3 linked regions of the Macaca mulatta genome follow. The protein of the gene in region 3 binds, or shares a complex with, the protein of the main gene of each other region. Links are inferred from orthologs where the notes say so. Each region holds a gene or a part of one and is shown on either strand. Other genes may lie near its edges.

Region 1 (6,172 bases), on a different chromosome or scaffold from region 3:
ACTATAGGAGCCAAGAAAAAATTCCCCTTTCACCCTCCGAAGTTTCGCTGAAAATCAACTGACAAAAGACAGTTTAATAGGGAAAACTGCATACAATTTTATTTATCAGAGTTTTACACTGTAGCAGGACGAACCGCAGACAAAACTCCTCAGACACGGGATTAAAGAAGGAAGAGGTTTTTTATTCGGCCGGGAGCATCAGCAGACTTGCATCTTAAGAGCTGAGCTCCCCGAAAAAGAAATACTTGGCCTTTTTAAAGGCTTACAACCTTAAGGAGTCCACGTGAAAGGGTCGTGATAAACTGAGCAAGCGTGGGAAACGTGACTGGGGGCTACATGCATCAGCTAACAGAACAAAAAGTTTTACAATGCTTTTTTCATACAGTGTCTGGAATTTACAGATAACACAAGCAGTTTAGGTCAGGGGTTGATGTTATTATTATTACTTTTTTTAACTCCTAGGGTCGGGTGGTGGTGCCAAGGTTGTCTGGCTGTTTATCTTTCTTTTGTTTCTTTGTCTGTTTCTTCCTGTCTTGTGAACTAGGCAAGGTGGGGGGAGGAGGGCAGCAGGAGTAGTAGTGGTCTCCTTCCTTAACACAACACGGGGGCCTTCAGAAGACCCAAAGATAGAGGGGAAAGTGGGCATTTTTACACTTAGGTATCAACAAAGTATGAACAGCTGTGTAGAAATGTGATTGGACAACAGGGGTGAGATCTAATGAAAATAGACTGAGTGGGGAAACCCAGCAAGGCCTCCCTGTCTAGATTCTTCTTGGCCTCCCTGAGCATTCGTTCTTTTTTCTGGGTATGGGGGGCAGGACCTCCTTTGGAATGAGGATCTTATGACCTACAACCACACAACGTAGGTCAGATAATTTCACCATGGCCACTTTTTACACAGAAAGGCTGAAACAGTCTGAATACAGAGCACGAAGGGATATTTTGATAATTCTTACTCCACAGGTATCCAAATTGTTACTCAGCAAAAGGACAGGTCTCTTTCTAGGAGTGCATTCTGCTGCTAACAAATATGATATGCTTTGTATTTTTTACCCAAAAAGAATTTGAGATTTGGGATTTAAGTTTATCTTCAGTTTCTCTACTCAATTCCCACCTACCAGTGGTTCTGATCAGTAGATAAGAACAGCTCCATCCTCTTGATGCCCCCAGAGCAGGGGGAGGAGGGTGGGCGGGAAGTGACCAGAACTGGGTGAGCTCACCCTAGAAGCCTCCTCCTCCTCCCTATTCAGTTACTCCCCGTTTCTTCTCCAGATCTGGGAAGCCTTCCAGCTGGGGGCAGCAGGACCGCCTCCATTCCCCCCGACCCCACCTTCCACCCCCGGGAGAGGTACTGTTGGGAGAATACCCTCCTAAAAAGAGACTTGGGTTTTGCTCCCTAGGAGCCCTGGAATAGCCTTGGCCAGAATTCCACATCTCCCATCAGTACCTCTCCTGAGGAGAGGGCCTCCCTTTCCCGTGATCACCTTTTGCGTCCTTTGTTAACCTCCAAGTCTACTTGGTGAAAACGGCCCACGAAGAAGTAACAAGGACTTTGTCCCTAGTGTGTCAGGTTTGGGCACCAGTGCTGTAGTGGCTTTCTCTGCTGCTCCTTGTGCATCAGCAGACAGATGTGGTTTACATAGGAGGAAAGACTAATGTAGGCAAAGATTTGCTCTTTCTTCAGCAGCCCTGGAAAGATGGTGGCCTGGGAGATTCACCACTCCTTCCTCACGTCCTTGATTTTATTTCAACTGAGTTCGATATGCTCCTCCCACCCTTTTCCTCTTGGAAGCCAAACCCCTTTGTAATCTGTATAAGGTCCATACCCCAGGAGCTTAGTGACTGCAGAAACTGGCCTTCCATCTCTCTCAGACACCAAGCTGCAGATCCAGGTAAGCAGTCCAAGAGGTGTTCTCAGGTGCCGCTTCTGCTTCAGGGTTGGAGAGGAAGAAGCTAGGGCCAGTCCACAGCACTGAGAAAGCTTGGATGATGCTAGCGCTGAAAAAATGTGGTCCAGGCAAACATCAGCTGGAGGCAGAGGGGTCGGGGTGGAACGTGCAGGCTGCAGAGCATCCATGGAACTGGAAAAGAAGGAGCCCTCAAGTTGGGGGAAGCCAGCATTTCTCTTTGGAATACAACGGAATCCTTTATGAGGCCAGTGTCAGGCACTGGCCTGAGTTCCCTTATGCTGTAAGACAACAAGACTCTGTCACCCATGGTCCTAGATGTTGGGGATACAATTTGGTTCATGATTTATTCAAACTGATGTTTCGATGAGCCATTTGAGCACTGGATACAAATGTATTTTGGATCAAAGAAACACCAGTATTCAAAGATAGAAACTGACAGGATTTTAGGTCACTTCGTAGGTCACCACCTAAACGGGAAAAAGACCTCGCTTTGGAGAGTGGCAATAAAACGCTTGTGGAGAAGGATACACGTGAGTGTCTCATTACACAAAAAACCTCAGGAAGTGGGACGGACATCTTTCTGGTTGACCTGAGACAGAAACTGTAAGCCAGGGAAGCCATAGGTGGGAGGTGGAGTTCTTTTTCTAAGAGGGCTCTTTTCCTTCTGTCTCCTTTTCTCAATTAGGCTTTTCCGGGAAAGTGAGGCCCCCATGGCTCTGGATAAGTCTGTCATCCTGCTCCCTCTGCTTGTCCTGGTGCTGCTGGTGCTGGGCTGCCTGGGCAGGGAATCCCGGGCCAAGAAATTCCAGCGGCAGCACATGGACTCAGGCAGTTCCCCCAGCAGCAACTCCACCTACTGCAACCAAATGATGAAGCGCCGGAGTATGACGCACGGGCGGTGCAAACCAGTGAACACCTTTGTGCATGAGCCCCTGGTAGATGTCCAGAATGTCTGCTTCCAGGAAAAGGTCACCTGCAAGAACGGGCAGACCAACTGCTTCAAGAGCAAGTCCAGCATGCACATCACAGACTGCCGCCTGACAAACGGCTCCAGGTACCCCAACTGTGCATACCGGACCAGCCCGAAGGAGAGACACATCATTGTGGCCTGTGAAGGGAGCCCACATGTGCCAGTCCACTTCGATGCTTCTGTGGAGGACTCAACCTAAGGTCAGAGCAGCGAGATACCCCACCTCCCTCAGCCTCATCCTTTCTACAGCTGCCTCTTCCCTCTTCCCTCTTCCTTCCCTGCTATGAAAGAAGTAACTCCAGTTAGGGCTCCTAGTCAACACACTCATGCTTCCTTTTCCTGAGTCCCACCCCTGCGTGATTTTGGGGGTGAAGAGTGGGTTGTGAGGTGGGCCCCATGTTAACCCCTCCACTCTTTCTTTCAATAAAACACAGTTGCAAGCACTTGATTTCTGAAGCGGTTCTGTCTAGGTACTGTTTCTGGCATTGGCTTCCAGCAAGGGGCAAGAACTGTAAATCTGATTCGCTTTGGAGAACGGTGAATGAAGTAATTAAATGCTTTCCCTTCTGACTTGGATTTTAGTGGCTTGAGAAAATTCCTTTCCTTGTAGATTCCTTGATGCCAAACCTAAAACTATTAAGTGTGGGCTGTTCTAGACAAAAGGGAGCAACAGCCTGGGACACTGCCATGCAGGGTGAACTGACAGAGGGGTGAAGCTCAAATACAGTCATTCTGTGGCACAGAAGGAAGGTGAGTGCAACCTCAGGAAGACCCTGCTTAGCCTCAGGATGAGGAAGAGGAGTCAATGAAATGATGATCCTAAATTTCCATTCTCCTTTTTTTTTTTTTTTTTTTTGAGTAAGCTATTACTAAATCAGAAAAATGGGCACCTCTTAGTTGGAAAGTCAGAATCTTACATTTTAGAGCTAGAAGTGACTTTGGAGAGCATGGAATTGAGGGATAGCAAGTAGATTTCAGTTTGTGTACCAACTCTAATTGGAAGTGCCGGTCGGGCATGGTGGCTTACACCTGTAATCCCAGCATTTTGGGAGGCTGAGGCGGGTGGATCACCTGAGGTCAGGAGTTCGAGACCAGCCTGGGCAGCATGGTGAAACCCCATCTCTACTAAAAATACAAAAATTAGTGGGGCATGGTGGTGGGTGCCTGTAATCCAGCTACTAGGGAGGCTGAGGCAGGAGAATCACTTGAACCTGGGAGGCGGAGGTTGCAGTGAGTTGAGATGGTGCTGCTTCACTCCAGCCTGGGCAATAAAAGTGAAACTCTGTCTCAAAAAAAAAAAAAAAAAAAAAAAAAGAAGTGCCTACCCAAAATGCTGTAGAAAAAAAATTCTGGACAGTGATATGGTTGAACAAGAGCCTCTAATGAAGGCACAAGACGGGGAAGGGTGTGTGTGCCACACATTTGCCATCCCTGACCAAATGTAACCCCTGCCTTTCCAGTGACTTGCACATGGCTTGTTGCTAGTTAGTGGTTCAGCTGGAAGTAGACCCTAGGTTTCCTGACTTCCAAGCCATTGTTCTAACTCAGGAAGAAAGCTCCCCTCCTCACTAAGTGCTGTGGAGCGGTGGCTCTCTCCCAGAGCTTGCTGCTGGGCTCTCACAGGCTCCCAGTGTACTTAGCCTGTGAGTCCACTCCATTCTTGGCAACCCTTCCTGACAGCCACTGAAAGACTACCTTTGCATCTGTCGACACTTAATCATTACATTTGATCCCCTGTTTACAGTGACATCTGGCTCCAGACAAGGTCACAGAACTAGAGAAAGGCCCTATTTTCAACCAACATGACTAGTTCTGTCCTTGTCGTTGTATACTACATCTATAAATGTTGGTAGAGGCTGTGATTTTCTAACGTAGAGTAAATCCTCAGCCCTGGGGGCTCTGCATAAGGAAGGAAACCTACAGGTGAGAAGGTCCATTCCCACACTTCTGTGGCAATGGGGATCTCATTCCTTATTAGCAGTGAGAATGGGGGACAAAAAAAGAGGAAACTTCGAGTTTCTAAATATGTCTTCCTTAATCCATTTTTTTTCTTAAGGTTATCTCACCCTTGTTCCTAGCCCCAAAGCTTCTCATTTTTCCTCCTGCTAATCTTACGAGAACACTTTAGTGAAGCTTTTACAAACACTCACTTGGAGTTTTGCCTCCTCCATATCTGCACATTCACCAGCTCTGGCTTCCGGCTCCTCTCACCTTCCCTGCCACAGGACTCCTGGGGCCCCCCATCTGGGGTATAAAGCAGTAAGTGAAGATGAAGTGTCCAGGTGCACCCCTGCATAGCCAGGAAGGCTCTGGGGAGGCACAGAGCCCTGAATAGGGGGGCAGAGGGGGAAGAAACCAAGCCAGGTCTCGGAGAGGACCAGACACAATGAAGGAGAGAAGCACCACAGCCACCTGGGGACAAATAAGACATCTCTGACCTGTGGGGGACGCCACTGTTACCCCCTAAATAAAGTAGTGCTAACACTTTCTAGGAGATGAACTCCAGCAGGTGAATCTTAAAATCGAGGTGCTGACATATGAAGATGGATCTCTGCATAAAGGCAGAAATGATCACATCCAGTCATTTTTCTGAAAAGGATACTATTAATTTTCAAAAGATTCTTCAAATAAGCTTAAGAAATTCTGCATTCTCAGTGGAGAGGTAAATATACTCCAGCAGATCAGCTTCTTCTTCTTCTTTTTTTTTTTTTTTTTGAGACGGAGTCTCGCTCTGTCCCCAGGCTGGAGTGCAATGGCGTGATCTTGGCTCACTGTAACCTCCGCCTCCCGGGTTCAAATGATTCTTCTACCTCAGCCTCCCGAGTAGCTGGGATTGCAGGTGGATGCCACCACACCCGGCTAATTTTTGTATTTTTAGTAGAGACGGGGTTTCACCATATTGGTCAGGCTGGTCTCGAACTCCTGACCTTGCGATCCACCCATCTTGGCCTCCCAAAGTGCTGGGATTACAGGCGTGAGCCACTGCGCCTGGCCCAGACCAGCTCCTTCTTACCCTGGCAGCTGAAAGTGTACTCAGAAAATTAGAGGACCTTCTGCCTCTCTGACCTGCTGGTCCTCCCTCCACTCCAGCCTCTCTCTATGGTAAATTCCTCCTTCAATTCTAGTAGCAGATAGCCCCCCTCCTCCCAGCGCTACCACACATCAAAACAGGTCAGTCGTCTACACCTGAAATGAGTTCAGTTAAAAGAGTAACTGATCATTGCATAAGGTTCTTTCTTACTCCTCAATCAGTATTCTCACCCTGAACTTTCTCTAGACTTGGGAAAGGAAA
Region 2 (6,807 bases), on a different chromosome or scaffold from region 3:
GGAGATGTGGCTCGTGTCTGTTAAAGACAAAATCATGCTGAAGTTACAGAGAATTTTGTTTAACATTGGCTTATACTTTATTCCTGCTTCGTATAAAACAGTCTTCTCCCAAAGGTCGTAAATACCAAAGTAGATCATTTCTACTAGTTCTGCAGGCAAATGAAGGTAGTTGGAAGTGTACACAGGAAATCTATGCAAGGGAGAATCAGAAAAATCTCATGAGCATGTGCTGAATACAATTTCAGTAGTCGGGAGTGGTGGCTCATGCCTATAATCCCAGCACTTTGGGAAGGTGAGGGGGGCGGATTGCCTGAGGTCAGGAGTTTGAGACCAGCCTGGCCAACATGGTGAAACCCTGTCTCTATAACAAATACAAAAATTAGCCGGGCATTGTGGTGGGTGCCTGTAATCCCAGCTACTTGAGATGCTGAGGCAGGAGAATCGCTTGAACTCAGGAGGCAGAGGTTGCAGTGGGCCAAGATCCCTCCACTGCACTCCATCCGGGTGACAATAGCAAGACTTCGTCTCAAAAACAACAACAACAAAAAAAAAACACATACACAATATTAAAGGATAAATATGGTTGCAAATTGGGCAGGTTATGGTCTGAGTTATTTCTTAAGACACTGCAACAAGTCAGATGCGTCATAAGCACAGATGTCTCCAGGAGCCAGGCAGGTGACATTACTGAACAGACAAGATGAAAGTCAAGAGGCAGAGATGGAGTCAGAGAACAGCCCTGAGCTAGAGCCCTTTCCACAGATGGAGCTTTACTCAGCTCTAATTGATACAACACAGTAATGGAGACACAGTGCACCAATCAACATCATGCGATTTTTAAAGATAAGACAGTGATGAAAACTTTTAGTGAACTATTCCAATGTCAAACGTTATCTTCCAAACCAAACATTATAAATAGCACTGTGTAGGCTGAAAAGAAACACTGTTTAGTCAAGTACATGCCCTGGGGCTGCGGTCTCTGTCTTTTGCCTCATACTATAGACACTTGAGTGCAAATCTTTCTACCCAGTGTGACTGTCAGCATCACAGAGGGGATACTCTACGTATCATTCACCTTTACATTCTCATCACCTACAAAAATGATCTCCACACAATATACATGAAAAAACAAACTCGCCTCATGATAAAGCTGCTAATGACTGTCGGCCAGAGCAGGACTTCAAGGCAGAACACTATTAGCTGCACATTGAGTCCTCGCCAGGTCCCCTTTGTGTCCACATTTACCTAGGGACTCCAGTGATAAAATTACTGCATTTCTAAATGACAGGAAAATTGGATGGTAGCAAAAATTATGCAGATTAATGGTTGGAAAGTATATGATATCATTTAAGGATCTAATTTCAATTTTCTAATCTCAAAGCTAGACCACCAGATTTAACATCTCTTAGTACCCACGACTTACCCCTGCAATTCACTTCCCACCTCCATACAATCTCCCCACATGCCCAGAATGTTCATCTCTTCCCGAAAGCCCCTGAAAACCCCCTGCTTTTACCTTAGGACCCTGCTGCAATGAAACTTTTTTTTTAACTCTTCCTTGTCCCTCAAGCCAAGTGATTTCCTTCACCCTCAGTGTCCCCATGAAATCATGTTCACACAAGTGCAATTACCTCTCTCACACTGTAATTCAATTATATGTCTACAATTACCTTCCTGTGTTTCTCTGAGGGCCAAGAATAAGTGTATGCTTTGTGTATCAAACTGTACATTTGATTTCTGTACTTTCAGGAACACAGTGCTCTGTCCTTAAATGTTCATTTTGTAAATACAGAACCATTTTCTTGTTAATATCACAAAATGAAACTTATCAGGAAGATGAATGACAACCCCAGAACACACTGTTTTGTAGAAAATACCATAGGCTGAAAAGAACACAGGAATACCAAGTGCTAGGCTGGAATCTTTCATGACACCAAATGTTCATTCATTCTCTCCCAGATTTTACGACTTTCCTCAGTGTATTTTTAGGTTGTGTAACTTTACACAAAGTGGAAGCAATAATGAGAGCAAGACTTAAAAGAAAGTGAATCCAATGCAAGAGGAGAAAAGGAAAACCCTCAAATATGTGAAGCAGATTGTTTTAATAATCTACAGAATCTTGTGTCTCAAGAAGTTAATAGCTCAAGTTTCCAGCAAAGAGTGGTGGATGAGATGGAGAGCATTTGTGTGAGAGAGAACCAAGGATATTACTAACAATGAAAGGCAAGCTGGCTTCCTCCTGGGCAAACAGCCCTCTGTGGCTCTATTTGTTCTAACTACTATGCCCTGCCTTCGTGCACTTTGGTCATTTAGGGGCCTGCCAGAGGACAGTTACAAAATCTGTGGTCATTCTGCAGGCAACATATAGTTTTCATCCAGAGTCCAGATCCAACCAGCAAAACTCTGTCTTACACAGAATGACTTGGAATTAGAGTCCTCATAGCAGAAAGAGCAGCAGGGCTATCCTTGGGTATCCATTGCTCAGCCAAGTTATCAAATAAAAAGGCTGATTGATGGGCCAGGCCCGGTGGCTCAAGCCTGTAATCCCAGCACTTTGGGAGGCCAAGATGGGCGGATCACGAGGTCAGGAGATCGAGACCATCCTGGCTAACATGGTGAAACCCCGTCTCTACTAAAAAATACAAAAAACTAGCCGAGCGAGGTGGCGGGCGCCTGTAGTCCCAGCTACTCAGGAGGCTGAGGCAGGAGAATGGCGTAAACCGGGGAGGCAGAGCTTGCAGTGAGTTGAGATCTGGCCACTGCACTCCAGCCTGGGCGACAGAGCGAGACTCCATCTCAAAAAAAAAAAAAAAAAATCTGATTGCACAAGCGGACTATGTACCAATCTGTGGGTTTCTACAAGGCCAAGAGTCAGACCCTCCCTCCTGGCTCTGCTGGCCCAACACACCAGGAGATGCTTTATTTAAACAGTTCCAAGTAGGGAAGAACAGTTGCCCCTGAAGGCCAGAACAACCAGCTGGATCAGTTCTCACAGGAGCCGCAGCGCGGAGACTGGGTAAGTCAGCAATCCCCAGAGCTGGGACAGGAGGGGCAGCGACCGGGCAGCACCTGAGGAAGAGGTGGGCTGAACTTAGTGCTTAGGAGATGTGGCCCACTTTGGGGACAGGAAGAAAAAGGAAATGGGACCCCAGAGTGGCAGCAGAGGGGCCTGTGGGGTGAGACACCGGATGGGGGAGTAGTTACTTCTCTTCTTTTCTCACAGGAAAACATGGTTCCAAAACTGTTCACGTCCCCAATTTGTCTGCTTCTTCTGTTGGGGCTTATGGGTGTGGAAGGCTCACTTCATGCCAAACCCGGACAATTTACCTGGGCTCAGTGGTTTGAAATCCAGCATATAAATATGACCTCTGGCCAATGCACCAATGCAATGCCGGTAATTAACAATTATCAACAGCGATGCAAAAATCAAAATACTTTTCTTCTTACAACTTTTGCTGATGTAGTTCATGTCTGTGGTAACCCAAGCATGCCCTGCCCTAGCAACACAAGTCTCAACAATTGTCATCATAGTGGAGTCCAGGTGCCTTTAATCCACTGTAACCTCACAACTCCAAGTCGAAGGATTTCAAATTGCAGGTATACACAGACAACAGCAAACAAGTACTACATAGTTGCATGTAACAACAGCGATCCAGTACGGGACCCTCCACAGTATCCAGTGGTTCCAGTTCACTTGGATAGAGTCATCTAAGCTCCTGTATCAGCACTCCTCATCATCACTCATCTGCCAAGCTCCTCAATCATAGCCAAGATCCCATCCCTCCATGTACCCTGGGTATCAGCATCTGTCCTCATCAGTATCCATACCCCTTCAGGTTTCCTGAGCTGAAGTCCCTTGTGAACCCTGCAATAAACTGCTTTGCAAATTCATCTGGAAGTGTCTGTGTGTCTTCTTTGGCCACTCTGCTGTCATTTAGTGACAATCTACTCCAGAAATTTTTCTTTCCTCTAACCTGAGACTTGTGGGAAATAGAGATTTGAGGATAAGAGACTCTTTCTGTCATGAAGTAGCACAGACTTATCCCTCTCCCTGCTTTAGGTTGAGAAGCTGAGGTCACAACTGATATCGACCAACTGTCGAAGACTCTTGCTTTGATCAAGCTTTAGTCATCTCCTCTGAACCCTCATCATAACTAGGTCATCCTGTTGGACTTACTAGTCCTTCCTTGTAGAATCATTTATAATTACTTTTATTTTTATTCTTTTTTTTTTTTTTTGAGACAGAGTCTCGCTCTGTTGCCCAGATTGGAGTGCAGTGGCGAGATCTCGGCTCACTCCAAACTCCACCTTCCAGGTTCAAGCGATTCTCCTTCCTCAGTCTCCCAAGTAGCTGGGGTTACAGGTACGTGCCATCACATCCAGCCAATTTTTGTAATTTTTAGAGAGTGGGTTTCAACATGTTGGCCAGGCTGGTCTCCAACTTCTGACCTTAGGCAATCCACCCTCCTCAGCCTCCCACCATGCTGGGATCAGAGGCATGAGCCACCAGTACCAGACCTAAAGTTAGGTTTTACAGAAGTCCTCCTAACTTGGTTTGTCATGAATCTCTCATCCTCAATATTTGTCCAAATTCCTTAATTCCCCCATCATTCTCCATGTGATACCTGATTCCTGGCCTGACTTCAAAAAAAACCAAAAATCCAATTACATCAACCTAGCATTGGTCTCCCTAGTCTTGATATCTCCTCTAGGCAATTTTCCATCCGCTGACCCCTCCCCACACACCAACCTATAACTTGACTCTAGATCTCCACTTGTTTTAGTTGTATTTCACCATTGAGCCCAATTTGATACTGAGGTCCCATTTGATGCTTTATGGTATAAGTTTGGTTTTTATTGACATGATTTATATCCCAAGATATATAGGAGCTGCAGTGAATAAGCTGAAAATGCACGTGTTTCATTATGATTTATGAATGATAAATTTTGATAGGATTGAACGTTATGATAGAAAACACAAAAACAGAAAGTAGAAAAAGTCAAGAATGCTATAAATAAGGTGAAATCAAGATTTTTAAAAAAGTTTAGCCTCAGAGATATTCCTTTTAAATGAGCACATCAAATCTCCAGCTATTAGCAATTGTACTAGACGTGGATCCAGGGTTTGAGTCAAATGTGCAATAAGATAAATTGTTCAGACAGCAATAGGGACAGATTGTAATACCGCCTGGAAGAGAGATGGGCATCTTTCCCAAAACTTCCATGTCCTGGAGATGGGGAGCCGCTGGTCACATGGGAAGGGGAAGGGGAAAGAGGAGGACGCGGAAGTGGGAACACTCATGAAGGTGAGATGACTCCTGCCCATTCTGCCCTCCATAGCTATCCGCAATGGTGAGTCAAAGGGTTCATTCAACACCTGTCAGGAAGGGCACAGCCTCAAGAAGTAGGGATTTGTAGACCCAGAGAGAGAAGAAATGGATAATAAGAGCCCTTGCCCTGGCCTCCATTACAGGGCTTCACTCAGGAATCCATGAGAAACAGGAAGGGGAAGCCCTTTCTTGCAAGCTGTGGACAGGTGCAGCACTCAGATGATTGTGCCGGGGACAGAGTGGGTCTTTTTGGATGGCCTGAGTCACAATACAACAGAGATACCACGTCATCAGATCTGCACCTTGGTCCTTCAGTCTGAAATTTCTGACTTCTATATTTCTGCTCCTCTTCTAGACCCTCAGAAACAGCAATTTCCATTCCTCAGATGACTCCATGTCAGTAATAGTGACTCTCATTGGCACCAGACAGCAGCTGTATTGAAGTCTCTCCTCAGGAGAAGCCATTGAGATCTTGCTTCTCCAAGGTGGGGCTATGAACTTAAAAGTTTGCACAGGGACACTGGTTTTGGGAAATCTCAGTGCTCAACAGAATCCACTGCCTCTAGGTAAAATAGAGCATGTCAGGAAGTGAGTGCAGTCTTCCCAACCCTCAAAGTAGCAGAAGGACAGGGTGGGACACTGAAAGCTGGAGCCACGTCTACTGTGAAGAAAGATGGCGTGGACCTTCCTTGCTTCAGGTACCAGATCATAGGTGTCTTCTCAGTCAGGGATGCCTCATATCTAAAACCGTAGGACAGAGGGATCAGTCCCCACATGCCCCCATGCCCTCTTCACCTTGTGACTTCATCCCCTCTCCTGTCATCCATTCCTTCGCTCATTCATTCATCCAGCAGACATCTACTGAGTAGGTACGTTGCTCCAGGCACAGTTTGAGGGAGTGTTGATGCAACACAGACCAAGACAGGTCACTGCTCTTTTGGGGCCACATTATGCTAGGATAAAAATAAACATACAAAATTGTTCTAAGCATGCAAAATTTTGTTAAGTGTCAGGAGGAAAAATACACAGCATAGTACACAGAAAATTACACAGAGCACCACAATATAGAGGTTCTGTATGTACCACAGACATCACAGGGCAGAGTGTCACCAGGAAAGACCCATCTCAGACAATGAAATCTGAACAGGAGGAAAAGCACCCAGTCATGCAGACACCAGGTGGAGAATTATCCCAGCAAAGAGAAGGAAAGTTCAAAACTCCTGACAAATACTAAAGCTGTAAGTAGACTTCAGTTCTGTATTTACAAGAAGTTGATTAAAACACCTGAAAGAAAATGACTACAACTATTTGCATCTTTGTATGTATTTATTGCTTGATATAATAAAACATTTTCATTTTTAAAAAGTGGTCCTGAATGGATAGAGTTTCGGCGTGTTAGAAGCACAAAAGGTGTTTGGTCAGGATAAGATCATCATAGCCAGGAGTATTAATGACAGGAGTTAATGAGGTTCAGACC
Region 3 (6,493 bases):
AAGTGTCCGTGTGTGAGCACATGTGGGTGTGAGCACGAGTGTGTGAGCATGAGTGTGCACATGGGTGAGGCGTATGTGAGCACGTGTGTGTGAGCATGGGTGTCTGTGAGCACATGGGCAAGAGAGCACAAGTGTCCATGTGAGCATGTGTGAGCACGAGTGTCCATGAATGTGAGCATGTGTGAGCCCGAGTGTCCGTGTGTGTGAGCACATGGGCGAGAATGAGCAGTGTCTGTGAGTGTGAGCACAGTGTGAGCATGTGTGTCTGTGAAATCACATGGGTGAGAGTGAGCCCGTGTGAGCACAAATGTCCGTTTGTGTGAGCACATGGGCATGCGAACGAGTGTTCATGTGACCACATGGGCGAGAGTGAGCATGAGTGTCCGTGTGTGAGTACATGGGTGAGCACGAGTATCCGTGTGAGCACGTGTGAGCACGAGTGTCCGTGTGTGAGCACATGGGTGAGAGCACTAGTGTGTATGAGCGTGTCTGAGCACATGGGCGAGAGTGAGCAAGTGTACGTGTGAGCACGAGCGAGAGTGAGGACGTGTCTGTGTGAGCATGTGAGCATGAGTGTCCGTGTGTGTGAGCACGAGCCAGAGGAGTGTCCGTGTGAGAATGTATGAGCACAACTGTGTGAGCACATGGGCAAGAGTGAGCACAAGTGTTCGTATGTGTGAGCACGAGTGTCCGTGTGTGAGAACGTGTGGGCATGACTGCCCGTGTGTGTGAACACATGGGCGAGAGTGAGCCACGTGTCCGTGTGTGTGAGCACGAGAGTGAGCACATGGGTGAGAGCACGAGTGAGCACGTGAGCATGAGTGTGTGAGCACAAGCGAGTATGAGCACAAGTGTCCATGCGATCACGTGTGAGCATGATTGAGCACATGGGTGAGAGTGAGCATGAGTGTCCGTGTGTGAGAACATGAGTGAGCACGACTCCGTGTGTGTGAGCATGAGTGTCCGTGTATGAGCACATGGGTGAGAGCACGTGTGTGAACACGTACGAGCACGAGCGAGAGTGAGCATACATGTCTGGGAGCATGTGAGCATGATTGAGCACATGGGCGAAGAGTGAGCACGAGTGTCCATGTGAGCACGTGTAAGCATGATTGTGTCAGCACATGGGTGAGAGTGAGCATGAGTGTCCGTGTGTGAGAACATGAGTGTGAGCACGACTGTCCATGTGGGAGCACATGGGCGAGAGTGAGCACGTGTCTGTGAGCATGAGTGTGTGTATGAGCACAGCAAGAATGAGCACACAGGCAAGAGTGAGCGTGCGTGTCTGTGTGTGAGAACATGAGTGTGAGCACGACTGTCCATGTGTGGGAGCACATGGGTGAGAGTGAGCATTAGTGTGTGAGAGCACGTGTCAGCACGAGTGTGCGTGTGCATGAGTACATGGGTGAGAGCGAGCATGCATGTTCATGTGCTGGGCAAGGCAGGGTGGTGGCACCACTTTGAGTTCTCTTTTTAGCTTTGAAAGAGGTCATAGTTCATGAAACCTGAGAGCTTTATGCGGCTCTAGCCTCCCTGGCCACCCTGTGGTCCATCTTCCTGGAAGCCCCGCCCACCTTCCTCCCGCGCGGGAACCCTGCCCGGCTCTGGATGTCTTTCCAGGTCAGGATGTCTTTCCGGGTCAGGATGTCTTTCCGGATTTCCTCCCTTTGTTGAAGGACGTTTTCTTGCAGCTTCCTGAGAAATGTTTCTGCAGAAGGTAATTTTTGGAGGCCTTGTGCCCCTGCTCTGCCCTTGGATCATTTAGCTGGGTATAGCGTGTGCCACTGTGCCCAGCTTTTTTTTTTTTTGAGACAGTCTTGCTCTGTCGCCCAGGCTGGAGTGCAGTGGCACGATCTGGGCTCACTGCAAGCTCCGCCTCCCGGGTTCACGCCATTCTCGTCTCAGCCTCCCGAGTAGCTGGGACTAGAGGCGCTGCCACCTCGCCTGGCTAATTTTTTGCATTTTTAGTAGAGACAGGGTGTCACCATGTTAGCCAGGATGGTCTCGATCTCCTGACCCGTGATCCACCTGCCTTGGCCTCCCAAAGAGCTGGGATTACAGGAGTGAGCCACCATGCCCGGCCTAATTTTTTTATTTTTAGTAGAGATGGGGTTTCACCATGTTGGGCAGGCTGGTCTTGAACTCCTGACCTCAAATGATCTGCCTGCCTCAGCCTCCCAAAGTGCTGGGATTACAGGCATGAGCCACTGTGATCTTGTGCGTATGATCTGCTTTTTCTCAGCAGTTTTTCCAGATTTCTTTGTCCATTGTGTTCGGGGTTCCATGTGCTTGGCTTTGATGTGGGTCTTGTTCTTTGACTGTGCTGGATACTTGGTTCTAAGAAAATATGCCTTTGCTGATTTTTTTTCTCTCTTTTCTTCCCTTTCTCTTTGGTGTGCCCATGAGCCTGTCCTGATGTCTTGTGGACTGGCCCTCTAATTGTGCTCTCCAAATTTTCTTTCTCTTCGATGTTTTATTTTTGGGAGATGTTCTCATTTACCAGCCAGTCTACTGAATTTCCATCCTCAGTGTTTTGTCTTTTGTTTGCTATTTCCCGTGTGCCTCTTGCCAGGGGCTTTCCATGGGTGGCTGGTCATCCTGGGCTGGGCACCAGGTTCTGAGTGAGGCCTCGGAGCCCTGGACAGTGGGCCCTGCAGGCTAAGTCATGCTGGACAGGGGGTCCTGCAGACTGAGTCATGGCTGTTTCCCGAGGGCTTTCTCCTGCTGGGGGATTTCCAGTTCCCTGCCAAGGGACACCATCCTGGCTGTCAGGACCTTGTGGGTGTTCCAGGTGTGGAGAGGAACCTTGGGTCCTGCTCACTGCAGACTGGTTCCCCCTGAGCCACCGCACAGGGTGGGGGTCCTGCAGCTTCTCTGGCCCCCACTTTGGAGAGGCCCAGCATAACTCCTTGGCCTTGCTGTCCGGCCTGTGGCGGCTCCACCCCGGGAAGTGGGTGTCGGGTCTTGTCTCCTCCACCCTCTTGTCTGGCCTGTACCCTCGTTACTCTCTGGAACCTCAAGTCTGTTGTCCACTCTGTGCCTTTCTTGGTGGTCTCCATACCCTCGTTTCCCCACAGCTGCCCTTTGGCCTCTGGCTGGCTTCTCCTCTGAAGCCCACCCCGAGGAGAGGCAAGGGGGTGGGTGTGGCTCTCTGGGTGGACGGCATCTCCCTCCTGTCCTTTCTCCTCCCTGCGGAAGGTCTCAGATGTCAGGCTGCCGTGCCCCACTTGTCTGTGTGGCCTTTGTCTGTGGTGGGGAACCTGCCCAGGGCCATAGAGGGACAGTGAGACAAGCTGCCAAGGCTGAGCCTTGGGGACGGCCCCACCTGAGGGTCCCGAGTTGCCGAGCACAGGTGTCCGTCGGTCCTTGGGCTTCACGGCGTGGGCCTCCATCGCACCCCCCAGGCCCAGGCTGCTCGGCTGGTCATGTGGTGCCAGGCACGCCCCGCACCCTGACCCCCACCCTGCTCCACCCAGGCTTGGCGACTGTGATATGAGTGACAGCAGCTGCAGCAGCCTTGCCGCGACCCTGTTGGCCAACCATAGCCTGCGCGAGCTGGACCTCAGCAACAACTGCCTGGGGGACGCGGGCGTCCTGCAGCTGGTGGAGAGTGTCCGGCAGCCGGGCTGCCTCCTGGAGCAGCTGGTGTATGTGGACGCGTTGGGCGGGTGGTGTGGCCAGGGCTGCCCAGGGAGGAAGGCGGGGGTTGGGGAGGACACAGACCCATGCCTCCCTTCTGGCCTCTGTGCAGCCTGTACGACATTTACTGGTCCGAGGCGATGGAGGACCGGCTGCAGGCCCTGGAGGAGGAGAAGCCATCCCTGAGGGTCATCTCCTGAGGCGCTTCCTGCCGCTGCTCTCCCTGGACGACCGGCTTCGAGGCACCCCTGGGGCTGACCAGCCCCTGCCACGTCCTCGCCCTGCATATCCTAGGTTTGAAGAGAAACGCTCAGATCCGCTTATTTTTGCCAGTATATTTTGGACACTTTATAAACCATTAAAGCACTTTCTTGGCAGGAGGGGCTCTTGTCCTTCCTGGGGTCCCTGCGAGTTGTGCTGGCATCAGAGACGACACCACCTCACGTGGCATGGGTTTCTCACTGCCTAAGGGACCTGCACCAGGGAAGCAGCCCAAGGCCCTGGCTGTGCTCAGCTGGGTCCTGTGAGCCGTACCCCACCCACACTGGGGAGCAAAGGGCAGGCCCTGCCTGGGGTGGGGGATGCCCCTTGGTTCTGCCTGTGCAGGGTGACGCCTGCTGGGAGCTGCCCACAGGCCCAGCACTCCCACAGCTTCCACCCTGGAGCCTCAGGAGCTCCCAGCACTGCCCAGCGCAGCCCGACCTGGGGTCCTGCCTGGAGCCCAGTTCTTGCCCCAGCTTTGTCTGCAGCTCTGTGTGGGACGGTGGGGCCCATCCTCAGGGGCAGCCCATCTTGCCCACGGGTGGGCAGCTGATCAAGGTGGGCCAGCCCGGGGTGCCCTGCCCTGCCAAGCCAAGAGGGGGGACGCTTGTCAGCTTTCAAAGGTCTGATGCTGAGTCAGCAACTACAAATTCATTGCAAAGAAGTTCCCCGGCAACCCCCCTTTTTTGGACAAGGTCTCTCACTCATCCAGGTGGGAGTGCAGTGGTGCGATCTCGGCTCACTGCAGCCTCGACCTCCGGGACTCAAACCGTCCTCCCACCTCAGCCTCCCAGGTAGCTGGGACTACAGGCGTGCACCCCCACACCTGGCTAATTTTTGTATTTTTTGTAGAGACAGGGTCTTGCCATGTTGCCCAGGCTGGTGTTTGGTCTTGGGTATTACTGGTGTGAGCCATCGCACCCGGCCCAATAAAGCCCTTTAAAGCGACCCAGGGGCTGGGTGCGGAGGCCGGGCACAGTGGCTCACGCCTGCCTGTAATCCCAGCACTTTGGGAGGCTGAGGTGGGTGGATCAGGTCGGGAACTCTTGAGGTCGGGAGTTCGAGACCAGCCTGGCCAACGTGATGAAACCCTGTCTGTACTAGAAATACAAAATTTAGCTGGGCGTGGTGGCCATGCCTGTAATCCCAGCTACTTGGGAGGCTGAGGCACGAGAATGGCTTGAACCTGGGAGGTGGAGGTTGCAGTGAACTGAGATTGCGCCAGTGCACTCCAGCAACAGAGCAAGACTCCGTCTCAAACACACACACATACATACATATATACATACATACTACATTAAAAAATGACCCAGGATCTTAGAAACTAACTATGACCCCCCTAGTCAGGGGAACAGGGCTCCTTGGGGACATGGGTGATGCCAGGCCTGGGGCAAGAGATGCCCAAGGTGAGTTCGGAGCATCTCGGTGTGTGGGGAACCAGAGCCCTTGGGCGCTGTCTGGGGTTGAGTTGCTGCCGGAAAGGCTCCCAGGGGCCGCCTTTGGGACACGGCGGGCGCCTGAACACAGGACTCATCGCAAGCCCCGCCTCGTCCTGCTCCTTGGGAAGAGCAGACGGTGACCACGAGCAGACCGCCACCCCCGCCTGCCGTCACCCCCGCCGGCCGCCACCCCCGCCGGCCGTCACCCCGCCGGCCGCCACCCCCGCCGGCCGCCACCCCCGCCGGCCGCCACCGTCACCCCCGCCGGCCGCCACCCCCGCCGGCCGTCACCCCCGCCGGCCGCCACCCCCGCCGGCCGCCACCGTCACCCCCGCCTGCCACCCCCGCCGGCCGCCACCCCCGCCTGCCGTCACCCCCGCCGGCCGCCACCCCCGCCGGCCGCCACCGTCACCCCCGCCTGCCACCACGCCACCAGCCGCCACGGGGCTCAGAGCATCAGGGGGATGCAGAGCACGGGTGGAGTGACAGTGGGGTCCCACAGGAGTGAGGGGGGGAGAGGGGCCCCCACAGTGGGGAGTTCCTCCTGAGGGGTCAAAGCTGCCACCTGCAAAGAGCAGATGCTGAGGCCCCGTGTGTCCTGCCGCACAGGGCAGGGCCGCAGAGGCCAAAGCTGTGAGTAGCTGTGACTGGAAAAGGGATTTGCTGGGCACCGGGCGTGGTGGCCACACAGGACATCTTCCTGCCGAGCCCGGGAGGCTGCTCTCATGTGAGCCTTGACATACAGGGGTTGAAAATTTCCCCAAAAGTAGTCAAAGAAAAAAAGTAAAGCTGTTTAAAGCCTGGGGCCCTGAGGCAGAGCAGGCAGTGTGGGTGCATCTGGCTCCTGGAGTCCCCTCAGGCTGTGTCCAACCAGCCACCGACACCCCTTACCTCCCCCCTGCTAGGAACCGGGCTCAGGGAACCCCTTTTCTCTCCATTTGTGTTTGAAAATTTTCATGGTAAAGTTTAAAAAATAGTGGCCTGGCTGGGCACGGTGGCTCACGCCTGTAATCCCAGCACTGTGGGAGGCCAAGGCAAGTGGATCACCTGACGTTGGGAGTTCAAGACCAGCCTAGCCAATGTGGTAAAACCCCATCTCTACTAAAAATACTAAAATTAGTCGGGAGTGGCGGCAGGCACCTGTAATTCCAGCT

What was found.
Region 1: the proteins of RNH1 (region 3) and RNASE1 are in contact, whole or in part, in a crystal structure (PDB 3TSR), measured with the Mus musculus proteins. The link is inferred for Macaca mulatta from reciprocal best matches to the Homo sapiens genes RNH1 and RNASE1. Residues at the interface, in NP_001165571.1 of Mus musculus: Cys7, Asp32, Thr60, Asn89, Asp117, Glu145, Tyr146, Asn174, Glu202, Trp257, Trp259, Glu283, Ser285, Trp314, Lys316, Glu340, Glu397, Ser401, Asn402, Gln426, Val428, Tyr430, Asp431, Ile432, Tyr433, Trp434, Thr435, Asn436, Glu437, Arg443; in NP_035401.2 of Mus musculus: Arg26, Glu27, Lys32, Gln36, Pro48, Thr49, Gln53, Lys56, Arg57, Met60, Asn62, Gly63, Ser64, Cys65, Lys66, Pro67, Val68, Asn92, Lys94, Asn96, Leu111, Lys112, Gly113, Asn114, Ser115, Lys116, Asp121, Ala134, Glu136, Val143.
Region 2: the proteins of RNH1 (region 3) and RNASE2 are in contact, whole or in part, in a crystal structure (PDB 2BEX), measured with the Homo sapiens proteins. The link is inferred for Macaca mulatta from reciprocal best matches to the Homo sapiens genes RNH1 and RNASE2. Residues at the interface, in NP_002930.2 of Homo sapiens: Gln11, Cys12, Arg34, Asp36, Asp37, Arg64, Ser65, Gln93, Asn94, Asp122, Gln148, Glu150, Tyr151, Thr176, Lys205, Trp262, Trp264, Glu265, Trp319, Lys321, Gln347, Ser349, Asn350, Trp376, Ala378, Asp379, Glu402, Asp404, Asn407, Cys409; in NP_002925.1 of Homo sapiens: Lys28, Trp34, Trp37, Gln41, His42, Ser47, Gln49, Thr51, Asn52, Gln55, Val56, Asn59, Gln61, Arg62, Arg63, Cys64, Lys65, Asn66, Gln67, Ser91, Asn92, Arg95, Asn97, Asn111, Leu112, Thr113, Thr114, Pro115, Asn119, Ile120.

What each region holds. Positions count from the first base shown.
Region 1 is NC_133412.1:93,649,049-93,655,220, reverse strand, and holds RNASE1 (ribonuclease pancreatic precursor), read left to right. Parts: upstream 1-2,620; coding exon 2,621-3,079; downstream 3,080-6,172. UniProt on the Homo sapiens protein: Endonuclease that catalyzes the cleavage of RNA on the 3' side of pyrimidine nucleotides. Acts on single-stranded and double-stranded RNA.
Region 2 is NC_133412.1:93,784,879-93,791,685, forward strand, and holds RNASE2 (non-secretory ribonuclease), read left to right. Parts: upstream 1-2,932; 5' UTR 2,933-3,016; intron 3,017-3,223; 5' UTR 3,224-3,229; coding exon 3,230-3,712; 3' UTR 3,713-3,885; downstream 3,886-6,807.
Region 3 is NC_133419.1:383,856-390,348, reverse strand, and holds the end of RNH1 (ribonuclease inhibitor), read left to right. Parts: exon of another isoform or gene 1-1,717; intron 1,718-3,476; coding exon 3,477-3,647; intron 3,648-3,751; coding exon 3,752-3,839; 3' UTR 3,840-4,016; downstream 4,017-6,493. UniProt on the Homo sapiens protein: Ribonuclease inhibitor which inhibits RNASE1, RNASE2 and angiogenin (ANG). May play a role in redox homeostasis. Required to inhibit the cytotoxic tRNA ribonuclease activity of ANG in the cytoplasm in absence of stress.